3 linked regions of the Anolis sagrei genome follow. The protein of the gene in region 2 purifies or fractionates together with the protein of the main gene of each other region. This does not show direct contact. Links are inferred from orthologs where the notes say so. Each region holds a gene or a part of one and is shown on either strand. Other genes may lie near its edges.

The links. Proteins that work in one complex are often made in the same cells at the same time.
Region 1: the proteins of SMARCA5 (region 2) and HMGXB4 purify together in Homo sapiens (affinity purification with mass spectrometry; 3 studies listed by BioGRID and IntAct, with this or other methods). This does not show direct contact. The link is inferred for Anolis sagrei from reciprocal best matches to the Homo sapiens genes SMARCA5 and HMGXB4.
Region 3: the proteins of SMARCA5 (region 2) and CECR2 purify together in Homo sapiens (affinity purification with mass spectrometry; 3 studies listed by BioGRID and IntAct, with this or other methods). This does not show direct contact. The link is inferred for Anolis sagrei from reciprocal best matches to the Homo sapiens genes SMARCA5 and CECR2.

The regions. Positions count from the first base shown.
Region 1 is NC_090025.1:167,423,382-167,430,671, reverse strand, and holds the start of HMGXB4 (HMG domain-containing protein 4), read left to right. Parts: upstream 1-4,226; 5' UTR 4,227-4,314; intron 4,315-7,290. UniProt on the Homo sapiens protein: Negatively regulates Wnt/beta-catenin signaling during development.
Region 2 is NC_090025.1:46,574,821-46,582,514, forward strand, and holds the start of SMARCA5 (SWI/SNF-related matrix-associated actin-dependent regulator of chromatin subfamily A member 5), read left to right. Parts: upstream 1-4,589; 5' UTR 4,590-5,055; coding exon 5,056-5,187; intron 5,188-7,694. UniProt on the Homo sapiens protein: ATPase that possesses intrinsic ATP-dependent nucleosome-remodeling activity.
Region 3 is NC_090025.1:179,982,207-179,989,311, forward strand, and holds the start of CECR2 (chromatin remodeling regulator CECR2), read left to right. Parts: upstream 1-4,041; 5' UTR 4,042-4,243; coding exon 4,244-4,447; intron 4,448-7,105. UniProt on the Homo sapiens protein: Regulatory subunit of the ATP-dependent CERF-1 and CERF-5 ISWI chromatin remodeling complexes, which form ordered nucleosome arrays on chromatin and facilitate access to DNA during DNA-templated processes such as DNA replication, transcription, and repair.

The DNA of each region.
Region 1 (7,290 bases), about 120 Mb from region 2:
TTGTATGTGATATTATGGTTGGAAACCGGTCTAAGTCCCTCAAGAGAGGTGAGAAGGTCGGTATACAAAACTTTTAAATAAATAAATAATAGTAGGTGCTCTTCCTGACAGTTGTCACTCAGGCCCCTTCTACATTGCCAGATAATCCAGATTATCAAAGTGGATAATCCACATTATCTGATTTGATCTGGATTATATGAAACTACACTGCCAGATGATCCATTTCAAAGCAGATAACCTGGATTGTATATATTAGTGTAGAAGGGGCCTCAGGCCCTGTCTACACTGCCATATAATCCAGTGTGAACTGCATTATAATGGTCAGTGTACTCAATGTATTAGAATCTGTATTTTAATTGTATTGTGTTTTTAATCTGTGTTCCAACTATGTTGCACCCTGCCTCAAACTGTGAGGAAAGGCAAGTAACATGCTATTATTGTTATTGTATTACTAGTTTGGGTATGCAGTGATGCCCAGTGTTATTTGAAAAAGACATGGCTTGTTTTTGAATGTTAGATAGTGTTCGTTTGGTAATTTGTAACTCTATTTCTTTTTAGGAAGAAGTCAGTGTTTTCTTTTGTTTTTTAGGAATTCTCTCATTAAAAATGCATAATAATGTGAGTGAACTATAATTCCCAAAAATTGTGGGTCAATCACCCCAAACCCTGCCAGTATGCAAAGTTTGCCACATTGGGTCTGCGTGCCAAGTCTGGTCAAGATTCGTTGTCAGCAGGGTTCAGTGCTCTCCAACTTTAAATTATAACTCCCGGATTCCAGATCAATCACTTGCAAACCCCACACCACTATTCAAAGTGGGCCATACTGGATCTGTGTGTCAAGTTTGGTCCAGATCCATAGTCAGCTGGGTTCAGGGGGCTCTCTGGATACAAGGTACAACTCACTCCCAGGTGGGTCAGTCCTCCTCCCAACCCCTCCATTATGTTCTGATGGTCATCAGGGTTCTGTGTGCCAAGTTTGGCCCAGATCCATCAGAGTACTCTCTGGATGCAGTGTGAACTACAATTCCCACTCCAGTGGGTCAGTCCCTTAATCCCTCCAATATATTCAGTTAGCCATCGGGGTTCTATGTGCCAAGTATGGTCCGAATCTGCCATTGGTGGGCTTCAGAATGCTCTCTGGATGCAGAGTGAACTACAACTCCCGCTCTGGCAGGTCAGTCCCCCCACCCCCACCCCACACCTCCAGTATGTTCTGTTAGTCATGGGGGTTCTGTGTGCCAAGTTTGGTCTAGATCTGCCATTGGTGGGCTTCAGAGTGCTCTCTGGATAGAGGGTAAACTACAACTCCTATCCTGGTTGGGCGGTCCCCATAAACCCCTCCAGTACATTTGAACTGTGGTGTTGGAGGAAATTTTTGAGAGTGCCTTGGACCACGAGAAGATCCAACCAGTCCATCCTCCAGGAAATAAAGCCCAACTGCTCATTGAAGGGAAGGATAGTAGAGGCAAAGATGAAGTACTTTGGCCACATCATGAGAAGACAGGAAAGCTTAGAAAAGAAAATGATGCTGGGGAAAATGGAAGGAAAAAGGAAGAAGGGCCAACCAAGGAGAAGATGGATGGCATCCTTGAAGTGATTGGCTTTACTCTGAAGGAGCTGGGGGTGGTGACGGCCAACAGGGAGCTCTGGCGTGGAATGGTCCATGAGGTCATGAAGAGTCGGAAGCAACTGGACGAATAAACAATAACAACACGTTCCATTAATCATCAGGGTTCTGTGTGCCAAGTCTACTCCAGATCCATCATTGGTGGGGGTCGTAGGTTCGAATCCAGGGAGAGTGCGGATGAGCTCCCTCTGTCAGCTCCAGCTCCCCACGCGGGACATGAGAGAAGCCTCCCACAAGGATGGTAAAACTGCAAAACATCCCCTGGGCAACGTCCTTGCAAACAGTCAATTCTCTCACACCAGAAGCGACTTGCAGTTTCTCAAATCGCTGACACAAAAAAATGGTGGGGGTCACAGTGGTCTTTGGAAGTGGGAGCCAATAGGAAAGCTGCTGCAAACTTACATCTACTATTATTATATAGATACTAGCGGTCCCCTGCCACACGATGCTGTGGCCCAGTCTGGTGATCTGGAAAATAAAGTAATGAGAAAGTGTTGGTTTCTAATATATGTAATGTCTTTATGCTTGTGGGTAAACAGTATTTCTTGCTATTTCTTTGCCAGTGTTGATGTGGAGATTGTCTGGTTTGCCTACTCTGGGACATTCAACATATAATTGTCCTTCTTTAGGGGTCCCTTTCAAATCTATGTTACTGCATCTGTCATATACATGTGTGTGTGTGTGTGTGTGTGTGTGAATGGCTGGATGGCCTTTTGTCAAGAGAACTTTCATTATGTTTGTTGCCCTGATTAAGGGAGTTGGACTGGATGGCCTTAAGGCAGCATTTCTCAACCTGGGAAGTCAAGACCCCGGGGGGAGGAGGTCACCAGGGGGTATCAGAACAGTCACCGAAGACCACTAAAAACACACACAGTATTTTCTGTTGGTCATGGGGGTTCTGTGAGGGATGTTTGGCCCAATTCCATCATTGGTGTGGTTCAGAATGCTCTTTGATTGTAGGTGAACTATACATCCTAGTAACTACAACTCCCAAATGTCAAGGGCTATTTCCCCCAAACTCCATCTGTGTTCACATTTGGGCATATTGATTATTCCTGTCAAGTTTAGTCCAGATCCATCATTGAGTCCACAGTGTTCTCTGGATGGAGGTGAATTACAATTCCAAAATTCAAGGTCAATGCCCACCAAACCCTTTCAGTAATTTCTGATGGTCATGGGAGTCCTGTGTGCCAACTTTGATTCAATTCTATCGTTGGTGGAGTTCAGAATGCTCTTTGATTGTAGGTGAACTATAAATCCCAGCAACTACAACTCCCAAATGACAAAATTATATTTTTTTGTGATGGTGACTCCTTGTGTAGTGAGACATTTTGTTGCCAAATTTTGTGTGATTTCGTTCATTGGTTCTTTTGTTTTTAATGTACTCATTATGCACAGAGCATTTTTATATATATAGCAGTACGTGTGAAAAAGATCTTGGAGTCCTTATGGACAACAAGTTAAACATGAGTCAACAATAAGATGTGGTGGCAAAAAAAGCCAATGGGATTTTGGCCTGCATCAATAGGAGCATAGTGTCTAAATCTAGGGAAGTCATGCTACCCCTCTATTCCGCCTTGGTTAGACCACACCTGGAATATTGTGTCCAATTCTGGGCACCACAATTGAAGAGAGAGATTGACAAGATGGAATGTGTCCAGAGGAGAGCTACTAAAATGATAAAGGGTCTGGAGAACAAGCCCTATGAGGAACGGCTTAAGGAGCTGGGCATGTTTAGCCTGAAGAAGAGAAGGCTGAGAGGAGACATGATAGCCATGTATAAATATGTGAGAGGAAGCCACAGGGAGGAGGGAGCAAGCTTGTTTTCTGCTTCCCTGGAGACTAGGATGCGAAACAATGGCTTCAAACTACAAGAGATTCCATCTGAACATTAGGAAGAACTTCCTGACTGTGAGAGCCGTTCAGCAGTGGAACTCTCTGCCCCGGCGTGTGGTGGGGTTTCCTTCTTTGGAAGCTTTTAAACAGAGGCTGGATGGCCCTCTGTCAGGGGTGATCTGAATGCAATATTCCTGCTTCTTGGCAGGGGGTTGGACTGGATGGCCCATGAGGTCTCTTCCAACTCTTTGATTCTATGAAGATAAAGATTGAGATTAATGCATTTATTGTTATTATTATGTGCCTCTTCTCCGCCCATTTTACTGAGTGCTTCCCAATATTCCTGGCAGAATGGGATCTAGAAACACAACAGAGCGACCCAAAGCTGCCACCATCCTTCTCCACCCTCTTCCTGTTCGACTGAAAGAGTGAAAGGGAAATGGCAAGCTTTAGGCTTCATTTGAAATCTCGCGATAGGTTTGGAACCCTCTTTTCCGCCCTCTCGGCTCTCGCGAGATGTACCCTCCTCGTCTCGCGAGAGCAGCGGCCTGCTTCAGAGGAGTTTGGTGCGCTTTCCCCAGCGGATCTTGAGAGACCCCGTCGCGATGTTTTTGCGTCATCGTTTTCCACAGTTTGAAGTCTGAAGTCTCCCCGCTTTCTGGAAACACGCAAGTCTTCTTACTTGTGTTTAAAAAGCAGCTTTCTTTCCCTCCCGGGATACGAATCAAATAATGTTCTGCAGAGCAAACGTCTTGAGTAGCTGCTTGGCTTCCAGATATTGACAGGATGGAAGGTCATTCTTTGTTCTCAAGGGAAATGTTTCCTTTCTCAGCAGAGTTCGCTTTTAAACGGTAAGATTTCAGACTGTTAAGGTTCGTTGGTATTTTTATTATTATTTTAATGAATTAAATGCTATTTCACTTTTTTTTACTGTTTTAAATCGTTTTAAAAGAATGTTTTTGTCTCTTTTGCATTGGCTAGGGAGACCTAGAATTCTGACAGGTGATAAATTTTATCTATTTGTTTATTTATTTATTTATCAATTTTATATACCACCACTCCCCGAAGGCTCAGAGCGGTTTACAATATACATATGCAATACATTACATTTAAAATCAAAGAAAAATTTCAGTCAACAAGATTCAAATGCCAGCCTAAATAAATATGTTTTACAAGCTCTACAAAAAGATAGTAAGTCTCGTAGAGCTTGTGTTTCTGCTGGCAAGGCATTCCACAGGTAAGGAGCCACCACCGTGAATGCTCTACACCTAGTGGACATCAGGTGAAAGGTCCAAAAATTGGGAACTTCGAGGAAGTTCTGATCGTCTGAACGGAGTGATCTCGGGTGTTGGTAGGGGGTGAGGCGGTCCATCAGATATTCCGTCCCCAGGCCATATAAGGCCTTAAAAGTAAGAATCAGCACTTTGAAGGTAATCCGGTGCTCAATCGGCAACCAGTGCAGTTGCTGCAAGATTGTAGTGCAGAAGGTGTATTTTCGAAGGCTTTCATGGCTGGAATCACTGCATAGTTGTAGGTTTTTCAGGCTGTATGGCCATATTCTAGAGGCATTCTCTCCTGACGTTTCGCCTGCATCTACAGCAAGCACCCTCAGAGGTTGTGAGGTGCCATATAGCCCAAAAAACCTACAACAACCCAATTGTGGAAGGCTTTCATGGCTGGAATCACTGGGTTGTTGTAGGTTTTTCAGGCTGTATGGCCATATTCCAGAGGCATTCTCTCCTGATGTTTCGCCTGCATCTATGGCAAGCATCCTCAGAGGTTGTGAGGTGCCATATAGCCCGAAAAACCTACAACAACCCAATTGTGGAAGGCTTTAATGGCTGGAATCACTGGGTTGTTGTAGGTTTTTCGGGCTGTATGGCCATATTCTAGAGGCATTCTCTCCTGACATTTCACCTGCATCTATGGCAAGCATCTTCAGAGGTTGTGAGGTGCCATATAGCCCAAAAAACCTACAACAACCCAATTGTGGAAGGCTTTCATGGCTGGAAGCACTGGGTTGTTGTAGGTTTTTCAGGCTGTATGGCCATGTTCTAGAAGCATTCTCTCCTGACGTTTCACGTGCATCTATGACAAGCATCTCAAAGGTTGTGAGGTGCCATATAGTCCGAAAAACCTACAACAACCCAATTGTGGAAGGCTTTCATGGCCAGAATCACTGGATTGTTGTAGGTTTTTCTGGGCTGCAAGGCCATGTTCCAGAAGCATTCTCTCCTGACGTTTCGCTTGCATCTATGGCAATCATCTTCAGAGGTTGTGAGGTGCCATATAGCCCAAAAAACCTACAACAACCCAATTGTGGAAGGCTTTCATGGCCGGAATCACTGGGTTGTTGTGAGTTTTCCGGGCTGCAAGGCCATGTTCCAGAAGCATTCTCTCCTGACGTTTCGCCTGCATCTAAAGAACTAAAGACATGGATGTTCCACTGTACATTCAGCCATATAGTTCCCCCAAAAATTCTGGTTCCCAGTTTGATCCATAATTAGATTTTGCTCATTTCACTGTGCTCTTTTAGAGACATAGTGCTTTCCTTACATCCCCCCCCCCCCCCCCGGGTCCTAATCTTGTCATCTGCCATTAACACTTTAACCATCAACCCTGTCCTTTGGCAACTGATTTACACCAGCCACCACTGAAACTCGGATCCATGCACTACTCAAACCTTTGAAGGTTGTTAAATATTCGCTATGTATTGTATTCTGTGGTTGTTTTATATTGTTGAAATGTTTTATGAATTTTTTTGTTATAATTTATTTTAACTATTTGTAATCTTGGGCTTGTCCCCATGTAAGCCACCCCGAGTCTCCGCAGGGAGATGGAGGCAGAGTACAAAAATTAAGTTGTTATTATTATTATTATTATTATTATTATTATTTTAAACACAGCAAGATGAGTCCACAGCAGCCAAAATCACTCTGCTGGCTGTTATATTGTATCACACGTCGGACACTTCCCAAGTGTGTAGGACTGTGTGATGTATCGGTGAATAATGCGTGCAAATCCCAGTAAGGTGGCCTTTTGCAGCTGGCAGATGGTAATTTTGTCGGCACCGATTGTGCTTAAGTGCAGGCCAAAGTCTTTAGGCACTGCACCCAGTGTGCCGATAACTCTTTGACAACTTGGCCTTATGTAAGAACATGACTGCTTTTTAATGTATTTTTATGTATTATGTGATGTGATGTTTTTAAACTACTGTTCATGAATCTTGTTGTAAACCGGCCTGAGTCCCTCTCCGGAGGTGAGAAGACCGGTATATAAAAGTTCTAAATAAATAAATTCTAAACCACTGGGACCACCTTTACTGGCCTGTGCCAGAGTCTTTGCAGTTCAGTCTTTAAATCCTCATATCATGTCATTTCCAGTTGTTTCTCTTCAATCCTGCTGTCGCCTGGGATTGCAACATTGACGATCCATACTTTGTTTTTTAACACGATCGTGAGGTTAGGACTACTGTGCTCCAAAACTCTGTCAGTCTAAATTCGGAAGACCCAGAGTAGTTTGATATCTTCATTTTCTGTAACTTTTTCAGCTTGTGATCCCACCAGTACTTTGTCGCAGGCAGATGGTATTTGTGGCACAAGTTTCAATTATTCATTTGAGCAATCGTGTTATGCCTCTGCTTGTAGTCTGTCTGCGCAATCTTCTTGCAGCAGCTGAGGATGGGATCTATTGTTTCATCTGCTTCCTTGCAGAGTCTACATTTGGGATATGTCATCGACTTTTCAGTTCTGGTTTTGATGGCATTTGTTGTAATGGCTTGTTCTTGGGCTGCCAGAATCAGGCCCTCCGTCTCCTTTTTCAAAGTT
Region 2 (7,694 bases):
CTGAATAAACCGAGTTGAGATCATGCAGTAAAGAAACCTGCAATCAGGCTTGATATCCTGCAGTAAAGATACCTGCTCTGGCTGTTACTGCATGGCTATCAACATGCCCCCTATAGTGATGGGGATGCTGGTTTCAATGTGATAACCAGTAATGGCTCAGCCATCATGGAGAAACGCAATACACCTTGCATACAAGATATAATATGCTTTGACCCATTTACTGGAGCCCCCAGTAGTGCAGTGGATTAAACGCCTGTGCAGGCAGGACTGAAAACCGACAGATGGCAGGTTCGAATCCGGGGAGAGCATGGATGAGCTCCCTCTGTCAGCTCCAGCTCCCCATGCGGGAACATGAAAGAAGCCTACCACAATGATGGTAACAAATCAAAACATCTGGGTGTCCCCTGGGCAATGTCCTTGCAGACGGCCAATTCTCTCACACCAGAAGTGGCTTGCAGTTTCTCAAGTTGCTCCTGACACAACCAAAAAATCCATTTACTCAGGTCACTATCGTTCAGATAAGGGGGTTGAGATCAGCAGCTATTGCAGTTAGAAACCTCACATTTTGGGAAACTTAGTTTAACACCTGACTGCCACTACAGCTAAAATTTGAACAAAATTGGAGACATGATGGTGGGAAAGTTTAGACTACTTGGTACGGAATGACCCAAAAACCTTTGAAGATTATGTTGCCTATATTATATCCACTTTAGAATACACATTTCAAACTTCAGTAACTGCCTCTTGGCATTGGACTGTTCTTTTATCATGGAGAGATTCCAGGAGATTTTGAGATCAGACACACTCTGCTCAACCCATTCCAATACAAGAACACAGATAACTGGTTACAAAGAAGAAGGTATTTGCAATGAATTCAACTTGTGCAGCAACTAAGTTATTCTACAAGTATAATGTAATGAGGATAACTTCACTTCTTTTGCATTATTAGTCTTTTTACTCACTGCTCTAACTAAAGGAGGCGTGTTAGGTATGTTTTGCTCCACAGGTCAGGAAAATTATAGCACTCCATTTTAAAACTATGTATGAAGTTTAAAAATGCTAAAGGATGTACAAACAATGAGTTACTTTTCACAAACTGTTCTAAATTCTGGGGGTTTTGAACTATTTCAAAGTCGGCCTAGTCTGTTTAGCTTTCTAATCTCTTCTTGCAGGTCAACAAAAAGTAATTCATTATTATTATTATTATTATTATTATAACAATAATAATAAACAATCTTTATATCCCACCCAATCTTCCCAGAGGGACTCAAGGTGGATTCCAATATGCAGTGACAAACATTCAATGCCTCCATAAAACAAGTACCAACATCATAACCCCCGAAAAACCTCACATATAAAAACAATTAGAACCTAATATCAATAGATTATAGCAATCGTAAACAAAAACTATATAAAATCTGAACATAAAACAATTCACATGGATCTACAGATGCCAACTATCATTCATAACATTGTGTGAGTTGTTTTTGTGGCCAGTGATGATAACTGGGCTAACATGGATTAGCAGAGCCTGGATACAAAATAATTCTCAACCAGAGGTCTGGTAGTGCTCTCTTATTATTAGGTTTATTTATACCATGCTTTATCTGTCCCAAAGGAGACTCAAAGCAGCTTACTTTGTTGGCGATAGCAACCTTCTCAAGCCTACTCTATGTAAAGTTATGTTTGTTTATAATGTGTCATTTTATTTCTTAAAGTGTATGCCTTCTTTGGTTTTCAGTTTCCTTAGCTCTATATACTTGAGGCAGTGGGAGGGGCTGCAGATCAGTGACAGTAGAGAATGCATATTAAAACATGATGACAGTTGAGGAATGAGTGTGGAGGCTTGAGTCAATTAGAATACAGAAGCCAGTGTAGGCAGTTAGAAGACAGTTGAGGCTTATGTCAGTTAGAATAGAAAAGCTAGTGTATTTATTTATTTATGACATTTACATGCTGCCCTTCTCATCCCAAAGGGGACTCAGAGCAGCTTACAAGTTATATGTACATACAATATATTATATTATTAGCATAGCACAATATTAGTATTATACATTACACTATACTGAACTATACCACTATACTGTAATATTATTAGTAATATAACATGTAACATGAAATATAAAATTATATTAGTACTATTATATTGTATTACATTATAATATTATCAATATTATATGTGCATACAATATATTATAATATTAGCTCTGCCAGGCCCGTAGCCAGGATTTGGGTTGGGGGGGGGTGAGTTTGATTCGGGGGGGGGGGCTGAGTCTGAGTGAAAGAGGGTCTACCCTAGCAAACCTTTTGTATCATTACCCCAATACCCCCATGCATACGGGATATATTGAGCATGTTGATCAGATCATGATATGAATAAACATAACAGTTTAAATAATGTACCAGTAAGGCCTTCTTGTGGACCACGATGAGAATTTCGCCGGGGGGGGGGGGAGAAGCCCCTCAAGTCCCCCCCCCCCCCCGGCTACATGCCTGAGCACATCACAATATTAGTATTATATAGTCAGAAGGCAGTTAGACCATGAGACAGGAGCCCCCGGGGGTGCCATGGGTTAAACCCTTGTGCCAGCAGGACTGAAGACTGACAAGTCGGTGGTTCGAATACGGGGAGAGCATGGAGGAGCTCCCTCTGTCAGCTCCAGCTCCCCATGCAGGGACATGAGAGAAGCCTCCCACAAGGATGGTAAAACATCAAAACATCCGGGCGTCCCCTGGGCAACGTCCTTGCAGACGGTCAATCCTCTCACACCAGAAGCGATTTATAGTTTCTCAAGTCACTCCTGACACAAAAAAAGCCTTGAAACAATTTGAGTACAGAAGTCTGTTTTTCAAACTGTTAGGAAGGCTGGGTTGTTGTAGGTTTTTTTCGGGCTATATGGCCATGTTCTAGAAGCATTCTCTCCTGACGTTTCGCCTGCATCTATGGCAAGCATTCTCAGAGGTAGTGAGGTCTGTTGGAACTAGGAAAATCTATATAAATAAAAATGTAATGTTTGTTTGTGATATTAACAGAACTCAAAAACCACAGGACGAATTGACACCAAATTTGGACACAAGACACCTAACAACCCAATGTATGTCCTTCACTAAAAAAAAAGAATAGATTTTGTCATTTGGGAGTTGTGTTGTTGTTGTTCATTCGTTCAGTCGTCTCCGACTCTTCGTGACCTCATGGACCAGCCCACGCCAGAGCTCCCTGTCGGCCGTTACCACCCCCAGCTCCCTCAAGGTCAGTCCAGTCACTTCAAGGATGCCATCCATCCATCTTGCCCTTGGTCGGCCCCTCTTCCTTTTGCCTTCCACTTTCCCCAGCATCATTGTCTTCTCTAGGCTTTCCTGTCTCCTCATGATGTGGCCAAAGTACTTCAACTTTGTCTCTAGTATCTTTCCCTCCAGTGAGCAGTCAGGCTTTATTTCCTGGAGGATGGACTGGTTGGATTTTCTCGCAGTCCAAGGCACTCTCAGCACTTTCCTCCAACACCACAGCTCAAAAGCATCGATCTTCCTTCGCTCAGCCTTCCCTAAGGTCCAGCTCTCACATCCGTAGGTGACTACAGGGAATACCATGGCTTTGACTAGGCGGATCTTTGTTGCCAGTCTGATGTCTCTACTCTTCACTATTTTATCGAGATTGGACATTGCTCTCCTCCCAAGAAGTAAGCGTCTTCTGATTTCCTGGCCACAGTCTGCATCTGCAGTAATCTTTGCACCTAGAAATACAAAGTCTGTCACAGCCTCCACGGTTTCTCCCTCTATTTTCCAGTTGTCAATCATTCTTGTTGCCATAATCTTGGTTTTTTTGACGTTTAGCTGCAACCCGGCTTTTGCGCTTTCTTCTTTCACCTTGATTAGGAGTTGTAGTTGCTGGGAAATATAGTTCACTTACAATCAAAGAGCATTCTGAACCCCACCGACAATAGAATTGGACCAAACTTGGCACACAGTTCTCCCATGACCAACAGAAAATACTGGAAGGGTTTGGTGGGCAGTGTCCTTAGGTTTTGGAGTTGTAGTTCACCTAAATCCAGAGATCACTGTGGACTCAAACAATGATGGATCTGAACCAAACTCTACACAAATACTCAATATGCCCAAATGTGAACACTGGTGGATTTTGGGGAAAATAGAATCTTGACATTTGGGAGTTGTAGTTGCTGGGATGTATAGTTCACCTATAATCACAGACCATTCTGAACCCCACCAACGATAGAATTAGGCCAAACCACCCACACAGAACCCCCATGTGGGCCACAGCAACGCGTGCCTGGGAACGGCTAGTGGGTTTATATATCTGTGGAATGACCAGGGTGGGACAAAGAACTCTTGTCTGTTGGAGCTAGGTGTAAATGTTTCAACTGTTGGGAAGGCTGTTAGGAATTGTGGGAGTTGTAGTCCTCAACACCTGCAGGGCCGAAGTTGGGTGTTCTTTTCCTCACCTGCTTTCTTCTCCTTTCAGAACGCGCGAGAAGACAGGCCCCGCCCCTTTCGCCCACTCAGTGACGTCACTCCCTTTATCCTGACTCCACCCACCAGCGCTCGTTCGCGCGCGCGCGGACTCTCTCTCTCTCTTTAGCCCCGCCCCCCGTTCTCTCCCAAATACGCGCGCGGAGGGACCAGTCAAACCGGCAGGCATCCCCTCTTGGCTTCTCTCTCGTCATCCAATCGGATTGAAGCAAGCCAGCAGGCATCTCTCTCTTTCTCTCTTTCTCTCTCCCCCCTCCCTTTTTTTGGCTTCTCCCGTTCTACCCAATCGGATCGAAGCAAGCAGGAAAGCAAGCGTCGGGCGAAGGCAAAGAGGAGCAGCACGCGCTCACTCTCTCTCTCTCTTTGGAAGCGTAGTCTCGCGAGACTCGGGAGCCGGCTAAGGGGGTTCCTGGTTGGTGGGACTGAGCGCTGAGAGAAGCCGGCGAGAGGAGGAGAAGAAGCAGAAGAAGAACAAGAAAGAAGGAGCCTGACGGCCGGGACCGCGCGGGAGGAGGCGAGGGGGGCTCCTCCTTCGGAAGGGAACAAGGCCGCGCCAACCGCCGCCGGGACATGGCTGAGAACGAGGCGGGGAGCGAGATCCCTCCCGCCGCCGCCACTGCCGGGTCCGGCACCGAGAGCGCCGCGGAGGCAGTTGTGGAGGGGCCGCCAGGAGGAGGAGGAGGAGGCGCCGAAGAAGGAGCGGTAAGAGAGGGAGGGGGGGGGAGCCCGAGAGAGAGAGCGAGTGAGGAGGAGGGCGCTTCTGCCTCCCTCTTCCGCCCTTCTCCCTTCTTCGCCGTTCCCCGCGTGGGACGAGGAGACAATGGCAGGAGGGAGGCGGAGGAAGAGCCCCAGCCCAGCCTTCCGGGGCTCTCCCGAAATCCTCCTCTTCTCTCTCTTGCCCTTCTTCAGCTTCTTCTTATTCCTCCTCTTCTTCCTTCTCCTTCCTCTTCTTTCTCCTTCTCTTCATCTTTCTCTTCTTTTCCTTCCTTTTCAGTTCCTTCTTCTTCTTCCCTTCCTCCTCTTTTCCTTTCTTTTTAACTTCTTCCTCCTCCTCCTCTGCTTTTTCTGTTTTCTCCTCTTCACCTTTCTCTTCTTTTCCTTCCTTTTCAGTTCCGGCTCCTTCTTCTTCCCTTCCTCCTCTTTTCCTTTCTTTTCACTTCTTCGTTCCTCCTCCTCTTCTCCCTTTTCTGTTTTCTCCTCTTCACCTTTCTCTTCTTTTCCTTCCTATTCAGTTTCTGATCCTTTGTCTTCTTCCCTTCCTCTTTTCCTTTATTTCCACTTCTTCCTTCCTTCTCTTCTTCTTTTTCTGTTTTCTCTTCTCCTCTTTACCTCTTCACCTGTCTCTTCTTTTCCTTCCTTTTCACTTCCTTCCCTTTCCTCCTCACTTTCTCCTCATTTCCTTCCTTTTCTCTTCTTTACTTCTTCCTCCTCTTCACCTTCATCTTCCTCTTTTCCACCCCTTTTCACTCCTTCCCTTTCCACTTCACTTCCTCTTTTCCTTCCTTTTCACCTCTTATTTCCTCTTCTCCTTCCTCTTTAGTTTTCTCTTCTTTCTCCTCTTCATCTTTTCTTTTCCTTCCTTTTCACTTCTTCCTCTACCTCCTCTTCTCCTTCCCTTTCCTCTTCACTTCATCCTCATCTCCCTCTTCCTCCCCATCACCCTCATTTCTCTCTCTCAGTCCTTCTCTTCCTTTCCTTCTTGTTCTTCCTTTTCCTCCTCACCATTCTCTTCCTTCTTCTTCCTCCTCTTCTTTCTCCTTCATCTCCTCCTCTTCACCTTCGTCTTCCTGCCCTTGTTCTTCTTTTTCACTTCCTCATCCTCTTCTCTCTTTTCTTCTGTTTTCTCTTATTCTCCTCTTAGCCTTCATCTTTCCCTTCTTTCCCTTCCTTTTCACTTCTTTCTCCTCTTAACCTCCATCTTTCTTTCTCCTTTTCTTCCTCTCCTTGTTCTTCCTTGTGACTTTTTCCTCCTCACCACCCTCTTCTTTTCCTTCTCCTTCATCCTCTTTCTCTTCCCTCTCTTCCTACTTCCTTGCCATCTTTTCTTATTTCTACTCCTATTTTCTTCTCTCCTTGTTTTCTCCATCTTCTCTTTTTCTTCCTCCTCACTGTTTTCTTCTTCTCCTTTCTCCTCTTTCACATCTCTTCTTTTTCTTCTTGTACTTCCTTGCTTCTTCTTTTTGTCTTCTTTTTTACACATTTTTTTTCTTTTTCCTTTTTCTCTCTATCTTCTCCTTCCTTCTCTTCTTTTTCTTCTTGTACTTCCTTGCCTCTTCTTTTCATCTTCTTTTTACACATTTTCTCTTCTTTTTCCTTTTTCTCTCCATCTTCATCTGACCTGGACTCTATGCTTTCTTTCTTTAATGGGAGAGAGTCCAGACTGCCTACAGTATACAATTAATGTGGTTTGGCCCAATTTGAGGTGCCCTGTCTCAATGTTGTGGGATCCTAGGAGTTGTAGTTTTATGGGCACCAACACTCTTTGATAGAGAAGGCTAAAGACCTTGGTTGCACCTTCAACTGTAGATTTAAGGCAATTTGACATCATTTTAATTCAGTGCCAGGTCTTCAACCTTCTCTGCCAAAGAGTGATGGTGCCTCATAAAACAAACAAGTCCTATCATTCTATTGCATTGAGGCATGGTAGCTAAAGTGGCTAAGAATGTTAGTCTGGCAGCAGCCACTGAAAGGGCTCTTTCTGATGTTCTCTGTAAAATTACAACTCCCATGATTCCACAACATTGAGCTACAGCAATTAAAGTGGTGTCAAACAGCATGAATTCTGCAGTTAAGATGCACCTTTAGAGTCCAATACTCAAAAGCTGGCTCTTCCTTGCTGGGTTGCTTGGCTCCAAAACTGCGTGATCCCAGACAGGTTGATTCACGCTCCATTTATACTGACCGATTAATGCATTTTGAAGCTAGCTTCAAACTGTGACGGCCAATGGCCAGGCAACAAACACACACAGAAGCATGCGAAAGAAAGCCCATGATGTGTATCAGTGCTCTGTGCTTTGCATATCATCTGGGCCTCAAACTGGTTCCAGGATTTCCTATGTAATTGCCTGCACAGCAAAACCACTTTCTTCAATACTGGTTTGAAACTGCATTAACTGGTCAGTGTAGATGGGGCCTCAGGAACTGTTCCAGCAAAGTAGAATTGACATTGATGAAACGGGCAAGTTTCTTTTTGTGTAACCTGGCTTGTT
Region 3 (7,105 bases), about 130 Mb from region 2:
GTCTATATGCATGCTGATTTAAATTTTCTGAAGAAAGAATAAAGCACAAATTATTGCCTTAAAGCTTAAAAAAAAAACAAGACAAGACAAGAATACCTCAAACCCAAGAATTAAAGAGGGAAAAAAGAAAAGTGAAATTCTAAGAATTCATTCTATCAAACTGTCAAATTTGTGTCAGGTTTCAAATCTGATTTAGTGCCGTGTGGATTCAGAACAGATGCATGTGTACTACAACAAATAGTATGAAAAGGAAATTGCTTCCAAAACAGGAACATGAATTAATCCTAAATTGGTAGTTGCAACTCAAAAGGATCAAAGTAACTTTTCCCCACAAGACAAAAAAGTAAGAACACCCATAGATCAACGAGACTGATTGATAAATGGCAAATAGAGGAAGAAAACGTGGAGGCAGTGACAGACTTTGTATTTCTAGGCGCAGAGATTACTAAGATTACTGCAGACGCAGACTGCAGCCAGGAAATCAGAAGACGTTTACTTCTTGATAAAATAGTGAAGAGAAGAGACATCACACTGGCAATGAAGATTCGCATAGTTTTAGCAATGGTATTCCCCATAGCAACCTATGGATGTGAGAGTGGACCATAAGGAAAACTGAGTGAAGGAAGATAGATGCTTTTGAACTGTGATGTCGGAGGAAAGTTCTGAGAGTGCCTTTGACCGCGAGAAGATCAAACCAGTCCATACTCGGGGAAATAATGCCTGGCTGCTCACTGGAGGGAAAGATATTAGAGGCAAAGATGAAGTACTTTGGCCACATAAGGAGAAGACAAGAAAGCTTGAAGAAGATAATGCTGCTGCGGGAAATGGGAGAAAAAAGAAAAAGGGGCCGACCAAGGGCAAGATGGCTGGACGGTATCCTTAAAGTGACTGGCTTGATCTTGAAGAAGCTAGGGGTGATGATGATTGACAGGGAGCTGTGGCGTGGGCTGGTCCATGAGATCACGAAGAGTCAGAAGTGACTGAACAAATAAACAACAACCCATACATTTTATTTCCTGTCTCTACCAACTGCTACAATCCAATATAGCATCGAATATATTTATTCTGGTGGCACAGCAGGTTGAACCACTGAGTTTGCTGACCGAAAGGTTGGTGGTTCAAATCTAGGGAACAGGGTGAGCTCCCACTGTTAGACCCAGCTTCTACCAACCTAGCAGTTCAAAATCATGCAAATGTGATTTAGATCAATAGCTACCGCTTCTGCGGGAAGGTAATGGTGCTCCATGCAGTCATGCTGGCCACATGACCTTTGAGGTGTCTATGGACAATGTCGGCTCTTCGGTCTAGAAATGGAAATAAGAATCACCCCCTAGAGTCGGACCCAACCAGACTTCATGCCAGGGTAAACCTTTACTTATTTATCTTATTTATTTACGATATTTATATCCCACCTTTCTCTACCTGAAGAGGACTTGAGGCAGCTTACAAAGAGGCAAAATTTCAATGCCTTAACCTCAGTATACAATTTTGGTCGTGTCAGGAGCGACCTGAGAAACTGCAAGTCACTTCTGGTGTGAGAGAATTGGCCGTCTGCAAGGGCGTTGCCCAGGAGCCGCCTGGATGATTTTTGATGTTTTATCATCCTTGTGGGAGGCTTCTCTCATGTCCCCGCATGAGGAGCTGGATCTGATAGAGGGAGCTCATCCGCCTCTCCCCGGATTCGAACCTGCGACCTGTCGGTCTTCAGTCCTGCCGGCACAGGGGTTTAACCCACTGTGTTATTTTTATTGTTCATTCGTTCAGTCATTTTCGACTCTTCATGACTTCCTAGACAAGTCCATGCCAGAGCTCCCTGTTGGCCGTCACCACCCCCAGCTCCTTCAAGGTCAGTCCAGTCACTTCAAGGATGCCATCCATCCATCTTGCCCTTGGTCGGCCCCTCTTCCTTTTGCCTTCCACTTTCCCCAGCATCATTGTCTTCTCTAGGCTTTGCTGCCTCCTCATGATGTGGCCAAAGTACTTCAACTTTGTCTCTAGTATCCTTCCCTCCAATGAGCAGTCGGGCTTTATTTCCTGGAGGATGGACTGGTTGGATCCTCTCGCAGTCCAAGGCACTCTCAGAACTTTCCTCCAACACCACAGCTCAAAAGCATCAATCTTCCTTCGCTCAGCCTTAATTTATATTTTATTAAAATATAAATTAAAATATATTTAAATTAAAAATCAATATTAAATACAAACATTATAAACATTATAATCATTATAAACCACGCAATTCGCAATCATAGTCCAGATCATGTTTACATCCATTTGAAGTTTTATAAATATGCCCTTAAAGATCCTAGTAAAGCTCAGAAGTTAATTAGAAACCAAAGCCATAAACACCCACTACTCTAATCTACTGCTCAAAAGAGAAAGCGCTGTAAAAGAACAAATCGGTCTACACACGCCATTGAAGCAGAGTGTTTGAGGACCGGGACATCCGTAGGGATACCAAGGTGCTTGTCTATAAAGCTACTGTCCTCCCAACCCTGCTCTATGCCTGCAAAATGTGGACTGTCTACAGATGTCACATGCAACTCCTGGAACGATTCCATCAGCGCTGCCTCCGGAAAATCCTGCAAATCTCTTGGGAAGACAAGCGGACAAACGCCAGCATGCTGGAAGAAGCAAAGACCACCAGCATTGAAGCGATGCACCTCCGCCATCAACTCCGCTGGGCCGGCCATGTTGTCCGGATGCCTGACCACCGTCTCCCAAAGCAGTTGCTCTACTCTGAACTTAAGAATGGAAAACGGAATGTTGCTGGACAGGAAAAGAGATTGAAAGATGGCCTCAAAGCCAACCTTAAAAACTCTGGCATAGACACTGAGAACTGGGAAGCCCTGGCTCTTGAGCGCTCCAGCTGGAGGTCAGCTGTGACCAGCAGTGCTGCAGAATTCGAGGAGGCACGAGTGGAGGGTGAAAGAGAGAAACGTGCAAGGAGGAAGGACCGCCTTCCACCTGGAAACCAATGCCTCCACTGCGGGAGAAGATGCGGGTCAAGAATAGGGCTCCACAGCCACCTACAAACCCACAAAAATAGTCATCAAGGAAGACCATCTTACTCGTCCAACGAGGGATCGCCTAAGTAAGTAAGTAAGCATGTTTACATTCATTTGAAGTTTTATAAAGATGCCCTTAAAGATCCTAGTAGAGCTCAGAAGTCAATTAGAAACCAAAGCCATAAACACAGACTACTCTAATCTCCTGCTCACAAGAAGAGAAAACGCTGTAAAAGAACAAATCGGTCTACACACGCCATTAAACCGAAACAGTCCCAACAGTTCCTCCCCAATTAACTGAGGCGCCTGAGACGCCGTTGAGCTACCCAAAAGAGCAAGCCCCTCCCCCTCCAGCCCCCTTCTCCTATGAGGAAAGGCCCACTTTTTTCCCCTTCAGCCAACGAGAGCGCGCGCCTCGGTCGCCCCGCCCACTTTGAGCGACCCGATTGGCTACCGGCGAGAAGAAAAGGCGGGGCAAAGCTGTTGTTATGATAAAGAGCGGGCCCCGCCCACGCCTCGTGCGCTGAAAACTCGCTCCTCCTCCTTTTCCACCTTCCTTTGCCTCGCGCTGCCTTTTAACGGCTTTTAAACCAGGCCACGCCCCCTTTGGAAAAAAGAAAGAAAGTTCCTCCCTTTAGGCTCCGCCCACGTTCCCAAAGAGAGTTGGAACTTGAGAAGAAGCTCGGAGGGAAGCCCCGCCCCCTCGAGGGGGGGCCAGACTGAGAAGGACCTCAAGCTCGGAGGGGAAGCCACGCCCCCTTGAGGGAAGCCACGCCCCCTTTGCCCTTGAGGGGAGCCAGACTGAGAAGATCCTCAAGCTCGGAGGGAAAGCCACGCCCCCTTGAGGGAAGCCACGCCCCCTTTGCCCTTGAGGGGAGCCAGACTGAGAAGATCCTCAAGCTCCGAGGGGAAGCCACGCCCCCTTAAGGGAAGCCACGCCCCCTTTGCCCTTGAGGGGAGCCAGACTGAGAAGAACCTCAAGCTCGGAGGGAAGCCACGCCCCCTCGAGCGAGACCACGCCCCCTTTGCCCTCGCGCCTTGTGTGTGTGCGCGTGTGTGTCCTCGCGCTCTCTCTCTCCTCCTGAGTGCCCCTCCCCCTTCCTTCCCCTCAGTCCGGAGCCCATCTGTTTCTGTGGCGGAGGGTCTGTCTGTCGGAGGGCATTGTCGGGCGGGAGATGGGTACGCGAGGCGGCGGAGGAAGAGGCAGCTGAGGGGAAAAGAGAGGGAGAAAAAGGGCGATGTGCCCCGAAGAGGACGGGGGCTGCGGAGGAGCCTCGCCGGCACTGGACTCTGCCTCTTCGGCCGGCAACGGAGGCCCCGAAGGGACAACATTGGCCGCGGGGCTCCTGAGCGAGCTGCGCTCCTGGTGGGAAGTGCCGGCCATCGCTCACTTCTGCTCCCTCTTCAGGACCGCCTTCCGACTCCCCGACTTCGAGATCGAGGTGAGTTGGGCGCAGGGGGCCCATCTACTCCCATGGCTTGTTGACCCTAACATCTAGGTCAGGCCAATTTGGGCCCTCCCTCCCTCTAAGCCTTTTGGACTCCAACTCCCACCATTCCTAACAGCTTCAGGCCCCTTCCTTTTCCCCCTCAGCCGCTTAAGCGGCTGAGGGGGAAAAGGAAAGGGCCTGAGGCTGTTAGGAATGGTGGGAGTTGGAGTCCAAAAGGCTTAAAGGGAGGGAGGGCCCAAATTGGCCCAATACACCGACTTTGAGAGTTCATACAAGAGTTTGGAAGTGACCACCCACTCCAACCCACTTGCATACAGGGAACGGACACAAACTGACCCTCCCCATCCAGAAACCTCCCGTGAAGTTTCCCCAACGCACTGGAAGTTTAGCAATAGTATTGTCGAAGGCTTTCATGGGTTGTTGTAGGTTTTTTCGGGCTGTATGGCCATGGTCTAGAGAGGCATTCTCTCCTGACGTTTCGCCTGCATCTATGGCAAGCATGGATGGAGGATGATGAACACCGATTTTAGTGTGACGACTGATCATTGTATTTATTGAATGTAATCGCTGTTTTAATGTTTTAGTGCATTATTGTAATATGAATTATGATGTTTTATTGACTGTATGTGATATTATGGTTGGAAACCAGTCTGAGTCCCTCAAGAGAGGTGAGAAGGTCGATATTACAAAACTTTTAAATAAATAAATAAAATAAGCATCTTTAGCAATAGTATTTCCAGGCCATTTGAATCCTAGTCTCCAATGCAGCAGAAAAACAAGCTTGCCCGTCTTCCCCCACCACCTCCCCTCTCCTCAATATGGGACCTCCTTTGAGAAATCCTGGAAGCCCGGATGGTGGTGAGGGCACAAAACCACTCGAGCCCAGATGGAGCACGAGCGAAGGAAGGAAGGGCTGGCTTTTTGCGCGCTTTTGCGGGAGTTTGTTGTCGGGTTGGACTGCGTTATTAAATGGCCGGGATTGACTGGTGTTCTTCCCTTGTGAACGCGAGGGAAAGAGCCTCTAATGTGTGTATCCCTTTAAAGATGAGTGTGTGTGTGTATCCCCCTTTCCCTCACCCCATGGGTGTGTATGTATAATAATAATAATAATAATAATAATAATCCCCCTTTCCCTCACCCCTAAGGGTGTGTGTGTATAATAATAATAATAATAATCCCCTTTTCCCTCACCCCTAAGGGTGTGTGTATAATAATAATAATAATAATAATAATAATACCAACAACAACTTTATTTATAATTTGCTCTATCTCCCGAAAGGGACTCAGGGCGGATTCCAAGCATAAAAGGCAAAAATTCAATGCCCGAATACAACAACAATACATCCATGCTGACAAAATGTATACAACCCAACATATAAATACAAATTTTAACTTTTGGCCGGGATCGTCTGGTGTTCTTCCCTTGTGAAGGCGAGGGAAAGAACCTCTAATGTGGTATCCCTTTAAAGATGTGTGTGTGTGTGTATCCCCCTTTCCCTCACCCCTAAGGGTGTGTGTGTATAATAATAATAATAATAGTAATAATAATAATAACTTTATTTATATTCTGCTCTATCTCCCGAAAGGGACTCAGGGCAGATTCCAAACATAAAAGGCAAACATTCAATGCCCAAATACAACCATACATCCATGCCAACAAAATTTATACAACCCAACATATAAATCTGAATTTTAACTTAACAAACTAAAATTTTGTAAACTAAAATTTCGGAGGGAAGAATAGTAGAGGGAGGCCAAGATGAAGTACTTTGGCCACGTCATGAGAAGAAAGGAAAGCTTAGAGAAGGCAGTGATGGTGGGGAAAATGGAAGGAAAAAGGAAGAGGGGCAACCAAGGGCAAGATGGATGGATGGCATCCTTGAAGTGACTGGATTGACCTTGAAGGTGCTGGGAGTGGTGACGGCCGACAGGGAGCTTTGGCCTGGGCTGGTCCATGAGATCACGAAGAGTCGGAAACAACTGAACAAATGAACAACAACAATCTAAAATTAAATTAAAAAAAACACAGGCTGTTATAACAGACATAAGACAAAACACCCAACATCAAATGGAAATGTTGATTTCCCATTTCTTTGGGGCAAATCAATATAATCATTGCTCAAGATATCCATTGAGCTGGTGAGGTATATGTACATATCTCCCGTTCTCCCCATTTTAATTTTGGATTTCGATTTCCCCCGGTGGTGGTGGGATATTGACTGAGGGCCCTTCCATACAACCCTAAGCCCTATATCCCAGGATATCAAGGCAGGAAATCCCACATTATCTGAGTGTCGACTCAGATAACCCAGTTCAAAGAAGATATTGTGGGACATTCTGCCTTGATTTTCTGGGATATAGGGCTGTGTGGAAGGGCCCTTAGTCTCTAGTTCCTTGAGGGATGCAGGTTTTTTTTTGTGGGGGGGAAGCGCCCACCATATGCGTGCGACACAATCGCAGTCGTGTGAATCTGCCATCCCATGTAAATCCCCATTGAATTTGTCGAGGCAGGTCTTGAGCTCGCATTCAGCGCCAGCAACGGCTGAGAAATGCTGGCTCTCTTCTTCCCATCCTTTTAGAGATTGGTGTGAATCGTTTTGGGTCTGGGAGCCTTTACATACACACACACACACACACACACACACACAC